2 linked regions of the Danio rerio genome follow. The protein of the gene in region 1 purifies or fractionates together with the protein of each later gene. This does not show direct contact. Links are inferred from orthologs where the notes say so. Each region holds a gene or a part of one and is shown in the gene's direction. Other genes may lie near its edges. The genes, in order: rad52 and rpa2.

Region 1 (3,832 bases):
TGGTGGCTCAGTGGTTAGTGCTGTCTCCTCTCAGCAAGAAAGTCGCTGGTTCGAGTCCCGGCTGGGTCAGTTGGCATTTCTGTTTGGAGTTTGCATGGGTTTCCTCTGGCTGCTCTGGTTTCTATGCATTATAGGTGAATTACGTAACTAATTTGGTATGAGTGGGTGTGTGAATGTGAGAGTGTAAGAGTGTTTCCCAGTACTGGGTTGTGGCTGGAAAGGCATCCGCTGCGTAAAACATATGCTGGAATTGTTGGTTGTTCATTCTGCTGTATAAGGGACTAAGCTGAAGGAAAATGAATAAATGAAAGAATGAATGAATGGCTGGGCGATGCAGTGGCGCAGTAGGTAGTGCTGTCGCCTCACAGCACGAAGGTCGCTAGTTCGAGCCTCAGCTAGGTCAGTTGGCGTTTCTGTGTGGAGTTTGCATGTTCTCGCTGCGTTCGCGGCTGGAAGGGCATCCGCTGCATAAAAACATGCTGGATAAGCTAGCGGTTCATTCCGTTGTGGCGACCCCGGATTAATAAAGGGACTAAGCTGAAAAGAAAATGAATGACTGAATGATACACTGTCAAGCATCAACACAACCTTGTTTGATCTTGTCCTCCAGACTTTGTGGACCTGATCAATGGGAAGTTTTACGTTGGAGTCAGTGCTTTCATTAAGGTCCAGTTAAAGGTAAGAGCTCTGACAATACAGAAGTACAGAGTTGTGAGTAGCATCTAAATTCTTCAGTGTTTTTCTCCATAGGATGGCTCATTTCATGAGGATGTAGGATATGGGGTTAGCGAAGGCCTCAAATCCAAAGCTCTGTCCCTGGAAAAAGCAAGAAAAGAAGCTGTCACAGATGGATTGAAAAGAGCACTCAAGTAACTACATCAGATTTCGATTGGTCATTCTATGGCAAATATTTTTTCATTTCTTTTTAAAGTAATAGGATTTTCTTTAGTTGTATTTAGCTAGTTTTATTTACCTATGTGAATTAACCATTTTAGTTTGAGTATATAAATGTTTGTGAACTGTATTATCATCTTAATAAGCAGACAATCATTGTTGATTTTTTTCCCCTATGAAATATGTCTTTGTTGGCTTTTTTATTTTGTTTGAGGATCCCCACCACTGTGATCAATTGATTGATGTGTATACCTAATGCCTAGTTCAGACTGCATGATTTTAGCCCCGATTTTGGCTCGCCGACAGGTTTTGAGAAATCGCCGACAAATGCCTGAAATCACAGGCAAATCTGTGCTCGTGCACGTGAGTGACAATCACACAGTATGAACGATCAAAGACGTGATCTGAGAGAATCGCCGATGAGTCGCCGATGCCTGTGAGATATTTGGCATGCTAAATATCTGGAGCCGTCGGTGATTCAAATCATGACGTGTGAATTGAGTTTTGACTGAAAATAACATCAGCGATCTCCTACAGCCAATGAGAGAGCAGCTTTCACTTGTGTGTGCATGTGTGTATACCTGCTGCAGGCCAGCGGGAGGCTGGGGGAGAAGTTAAAAGCGCTCTTTTTTCGATTTATTTGGACCGACGAAATGGAGGAAAAACTAGTGGAGGTTTGACAGGACTCAGGAGCAACTGTGTCTGTTTGACGGTTCATACAGAAAGAAGTTAGTTTATCATCAACGTTGAGGAGAAATAGCTAATTCCCTTTAAACCCAGATGAGCAAACATGTACATGTTCTACCCCCTTAAAGGCTTCTTTCTCATTATGTAGTTAATAACAAAAGATAAACTACGTGTTTTTGGCTGTGAGACGTAGTTGTCGGCAATTCTTCCTATAGTAAAGTCATGCAATGTGAAAGTCCCTGTCGCCAATCCATCTTGCAGTGTAAACAAAGCAGCGACGAAACGCTAGCCCAGATAGTCAAGCAGTGTGAAAACATCTGTGACATGACTACCTTGAAAATCATGCAGTCTGAACTCGGCATTACTCAAACAGAGTTGCTAATTGCCAAATAATGATGTGAAAATCGTGTCCCAAGATGTTTGGGTGGAAGATTTTTCAGTACATTAAATATATTTAGTTTAAATTGATAAACTATATAAACTGTGCATGTTTTTCAAGTGTGACCTTAAAATATGGAATGACAGTAAAGGGCTTGAGTTAAAGGGACTTAAATTTCCCATGGAGGGATTACATTTTTTTAACCAATATGATTTATGACAAGAATTGCTAATACAATAATGTGCACCTTGTAGGGTCCAGCCAGTTGGTCCAATGACGGTATCCAATGGTGGATGAAGGTTCACTACATGTTCGGTCTATCCAGTGCACAATGTTGATTTATATTAAACTTAACTCATATCTGACTCCAATTTTAGTATGAGATGGTTTAGAATATTAATATGTTTATCCTCGTTTTATCTGACTCCAATTATAAAACATTGAGAAGATTATTTTGTTTCCTTTCACATTAATTTAGATTATGATTGAATATTCTCTTCGGTTCATCATTTTATGTTATTCTCGTTCATTGGGATCTCTATAACATCCTGAATCTTGTACCGGCCGAGTATACAATTTCTTAAGCACAAGCATGTCAGTCTTGGTCACTAAACAGGGGCGATTGACCGCTATCCTAAAAAGGCAGAACCCTACTTACTCAGATTAGGATATTTTTTATGCGGTCCCCATAGGTCTGCTACCTCCTAAATCAGACAGAGCTATTTAGTCATATAACGATCATTACTATAGAATTAAGCAGACCAGTCGTACTTAAACTAGTAGTAACTTTGAATAATCACTATACTATCTAAATAGTATTAAAAGTTTATCGGGTGAAGGACTATCCCCTTAGATATCATTTTACAGCCTAAGTATACATGAATAAATGCCAATTTGTTAGTCGGAGCTCTAGAGACATCGTGTAACGTGCCGCAATGCTCCGTCTACCGTGTTCTAGTCCGCTACTAACCTGAACAGGGGCTTGTGGTGCTATGAAATTACCACAATCTACTAAAGATAATAACACGAACTCTGTTTGAATCATTCAAAACATAACAATTTATTAGTCAGGTAAATGTATTATGCCAATTCAATCAGTCAATTCATAAATGATCAATACAAAACATCAAATTATCAAAGATAAATCCAAGATGAAAAGATGCATACCTGACTTTGAAATATACATAACATGGGGCAGACCCCATGTTATGGGCTGATCTGGTTAGGCAGAATCGCCCTGAGTTTTTCTCAAACCTTGCCTTAAATAATCCAAGAATTCCCTCAAGGAAGGGGGTGTGTGTAAAAAGTCACACCCTTCACAGTGGTTCAAAAGATGCCTGAAGTTATATATTTATTGTGTTGATTATATCTATTTCTGAGAGAATGAGACCATTGTACCAATCGCACTGAGACATTTCAAATGATATCAAACATGATAGTTAAAGTCAGTTTGGTTAATCTAAAACATTGAAATGACCATATGCGTGAGTTGGGGGGATGAAGCTGAGTTTCAACATAGTCAGATGCAAATGCAGCAGGAACTGGTTTTTCACGCATTCCCCCCTGGTGGGTTGTGGAGTCCATTGGCCCTGTCTTCAGCTCATGTTTTGAATTGTCAAAGACATCAAAAATATTTGTAATATTTCAATTCTTACAACCTTTTGTAAAGCTGCTTTGAAAAAATAACTTTTGTGAAAGGCGATACACAAATTAAATTAAATTGAATTAAAAAATAATGCTTTTATGTTGCAATGATGCATGAAGTTGACCAAAAACAGCAGTAAAGGTATTTATAACCCTATATTAGAATTTTACATCTTTGATGTTTTTTAGCAAAGGTCAGGTTCCATAGAAATATTAAGCCGCACAACG
Region 2 (3,932 bases), on another chromosome or scaffold:
ATGAAATGTGTAAGAAACTAAAAAAATCTTTTAGAGAACCATTTTTTCAAATTTCGTGAGGCTTAAAAACTAAAAATGAAGTTGTAGTCAGTCACTTAGAAAAAAATATATTTTTGTAAAGAAAATAAATTAAACGCTGAGGCATTTGTCTCCTCAAGTTATAATTAGATTGTCTAACTCAGTGGTTCCCAAAGTTTATATTCGCACATTTGTTCATTTAGCAGTCTCTATATTGTTTACCATGTTACTTTGAATATTCGATCGGAATTAGCATGCAAGTTTGACTTCTAAACAATATTAACACTGTCTAATTCACTGTGAACAATGTTGTACTTTCATAATCATTTGCTGCTAAAGTGCTAATATGATTTCCCTATTTAGAATTTGCAAAGAATACTTTTCTGAAATTATATTATTAAGGAGAATGTCTGAATATCTCAATTTAAACCAGCTTTACCTCTATGGAATTATGTGGAACCCTGCATATTGTACAGTGCATGAAGAGACTTAGGATGAAATGTGTTAGAAATCAATTTCTTCGATTTTAAGAGGTCTAAAGTTAACAGCAACGTTAGTCATAAAGTTATTTTTCATAAAGAAAATATCATGGCGTTAAATAAGCTGTCCAACTATCTGGTCAATACTGCCATCTAGTGTTTCATTGTGGCATTTCTAACTGTTTTATCTTATAGAGCTAGTGTAAAAAATAAAACAGTATGCAATAGTATAATATATATAATTCAGTATACTATATAAATAATTTTAAAACCTAGCTATAAACATTTAAACGACTATATTTTAGTACTCTCTAACTTAGTGTTCCCAAAGTCTGCCTCCTGAAATTGTATAACCTTTTATTCCAGTAAATAAACTCAAAATAAGCTGTAACGTTACCCTAGTACGTTAAAAGAAATCCCGTTGAATCCCTGGGTGCTAAGTGTAACTGTACATGACATAATTCACTCACATACACTGATGAAACACTGCATTGACAGTCAGTGACTATGAGAGAGCCAAAGTAGAAGAGAAAAACTTTACCGAATGAACAAAAGGCCGCTTTGCAGCTTCTGTCTGAGCTCAATAAAGAGGACATCTGTGTTCGCAGTCTCTTCCATTGGTATTTCTTTACAGAAGCTATGGATTCATCGATTCTACTCATAAATCCCACGCGACACACAAAACAACGTGACGACAAACTGTCTGCGACACCGTCATTTCATATTAAGAGTCTTCAGAATTCAGTTTGCATCTGTTCAGTGTTAACGTTACTTTTAAAAACATTTTAAAAAACGCTGTTTTCAAACATATTTGGACAGTTATTATAATTATTTTATTTTAATATATAAACAATATATGACTGGGCTTAGCCCGCTTACATGCTTTAACTATTCCAAAACATATGAGAACGAGCGTAAACGTTTTAATGTAAATTTCAGTGAAGAAAGATTACAGATTTTTTGTTGTTTTTATTTATTTTTTTATGCTTTATTTTTATTTAAAAACAATTTTAACAACATACAAGCTTCTGTGGACTTTTACAGTATACGTGTGGGACTTTCGCGGCAGATGACACACGCGCACGCGTACTGTGAGCGCGCGGACTTCGAGACGTGACGTCAAACTGTGCGCGATCAGTCGTGGCGGGAGATTTTCGAGTGTCTTGTCGGTCTGCTTCGCATTCAGAAGAAAAACATTCACGAGTGAAATGTGGAACCAAGGTACGTGCTTTAGAAATCACTTTATTTTGGCTTTAGAGCTGAGTTTACTCTGCTAGTCCGCTAATGAGAGTCAGAAAGCTCTGTTATACAGTGTCAGTGTGATGTCGGTTAGCGGTGTGTTGTCAAGGTCTGTTTTTAACGCACTCTTACGTTACTGCCAGTCGGACGGGGTTTTTAACCAATAAGTCGTTTTGATTGAAATATGGTATTCATATTTTTGCAGGTAAATACGGAGAGGCCAGTATGGCTGGGTACACACAGTCTCCTGGAGGATTCGGGTCACCAGCCGCTTCTCAAGGAGGAGACAAAAAGGGGGTCAGTATATAAATAACTTTAAACACCTATATATATATATATATATATATATATATATATATATATATATATATTGAGGTAAAGTTGGTTTTATATTCGCACATTCGTTCAGTGACAACTTGTGACATGCTCCTCATATTGTTTACCATGGTACTTTAAATATTTGGTCTGAAATCACTTGTAAACATGACTTCAAAACAACATTAACACCATTTATTTGACTGTAAACAATGCTGTACTTTGATAGTCACTAGCTGATAATATGATTTTAGCATTTAAAATTTGCATAAATACTTTGTGACGTTTTATCTTTAAGGAGAATGTGCGAATATTAAACCCACCTTACCTCAATTGTGTGGGGTTCATATTAAATTCCTCCAATACCATATTTAATTCTGTTTAAATATTTAATTGCAGTTAATACGACTTGAGTATATTTTGTTTAAACTACATATATTTGTAAATATTACCCATAGTTTTCTATAATAGCACTTTTAACTTATCCCTATATCGTGCACTTTCTAAACTGCATTTTGAAATGACAAAAAAAGTAAAAAATACAAGTTAAATGTTCACTTCAATGTTTCAGACTATTTTTGTGACAACGAAATGTTAAAAAATGTGTGAAAAAATTGTTTGGTATTAAGCTCAACAAGTTTTTGTGTAATTAAACAAAAGCAAATACCTGTTATGTACTTCCTGATTATATAGTTAAAAGAGTAATTTAATAAACTAAATTTGGTTATAATTTAACTTTTTGTTAACAAATGGGTAAAGTGAAATGTTTTGCAGAACAGTTAATAAATATTAAGATTTCAAATGACAGGTATAAAATTTAGAGTTTGAGACTAAACTAAATTTAGTGGCCATCTTATGTAACTTGAAGTAAATTGAAATAAAATATTTATTAGTTGTTATTTTTGTTTATTATTATATTTCTTTGCTTAAAATAAAAGCGACACATCGTAAAAAAAGTTAAAACAGACAATAGATTTGCTCAAACTATTTTTTATTATCATTTAATGCACTTTTTAATACAATACAAGCCTAAACGTTGAGTTTAAGCTATTAAGCTAAACATTTAAGCTATTTTCTGTTATTTAAAAAATAAATAAAATATAAAAGATTTAGAAATTCTTTTATGAAGTATTTAATTTTCATTGCCAAAATTGTCTTTGTCTTTCATCTCAATGTTTAGGTCTGTTTTTGCTTGTGTAAATACTGAATAATATTTAATAAGGTATATAAATCATATCTTTTATAGAAGGTTTTTTCAGTATATTTCAATAATTTTCAAGTCGCTGTTTAAATTTAGGCAAACAAACTTATAACTTTAATGCAGTATTGATATGTTTGGGGACAATTCTGTTTGTGTAAAAATAATACGACTTTCACTATTTTGGCCTAATACATCTTTTGTGTAGCTGTTAGAATGACCGTAGAGAGAGTAGTATTGTTATTTTAACAGTACTTATTTGAGTCATTATCGTGTTGTTTAAGTGATTATGAAAACAGTGGGAAATCAGTGTAGTATTGTGATCTTCATGTGTGATGCTGTAAAGTGTAACAGTGATGTGTGTGTGTGTGTGTGTGTTCAGAGGACACGAGCGCAGCAGATCGTTCCCTGTACTGTATCTCAGCTGTTGTCGGCGGTGCAGGCTGAGGACGTCTTTAAAGTGGGAGAGGTGGAGATCGCACAGGTCAGTCTGAAGAATCACTAAATATCCACATTTTTATTGAAAGGGTTTCCATTTTATGGAGCCAGATCAGTCTCAAAAGTAATATATTTATAAAAAAGAATTCATTCACATATAAAAAATCTAATTCATAACTTCAAAACACGATTCATCTCTTATTACATTGTATTTAAAGTGCTGCATTGTATGTGGTTTGGATGTT

The links.
Region 2: the proteins of rad52 (region 1) and rpa2 purify together in Homo sapiens (affinity purification with western blotting; 3 studies listed by BioGRID and IntAct, with this or other methods). This does not show direct contact. The link is inferred for Danio rerio from reciprocal best matches to the Homo sapiens genes RAD52 and RPA2.

Annotation. Positions count from the first base shown.
Region 1 is NC_133200.1:22,346,188-22,350,019, forward strand, and holds part of rad52 (DNA repair protein RAD52 homolog), read left to right. Parts: intron 1-610; coding exon 611-678; intron 679-750; coding exon 751-869; intron 870-3,832. UniProt on the Homo sapiens protein: Involved in double-stranded break repair. Plays a central role in genetic recombination and DNA repair by promoting the annealing of complementary single-stranded DNA and by stimulation of the RAD51 recombinase.
Region 2 is NC_133191.1:4,971,772-4,975,703, reverse strand, and holds the start of rpa2 (replication protein A 32 kDa subunit), read left to right. Parts: upstream 1-1,571; 5' UTR 1,572-1,705; coding exon 1,706-1,718; intron 1,719-1,941; coding exon 1,942-2,033; intron 2,034-3,631; coding exon 3,632-3,733; intron 3,734-3,932. Other genes in the region: ube3d (E3 ubiquitin-protein ligase E3D), read right to left, coding at 1,039-1,115. UniProt on the Homo sapiens protein: As part of the heterotrimeric replication protein A complex (RPA/RP-A), binds and stabilizes single-stranded DNA intermediates that form during DNA replication or upon DNA stress.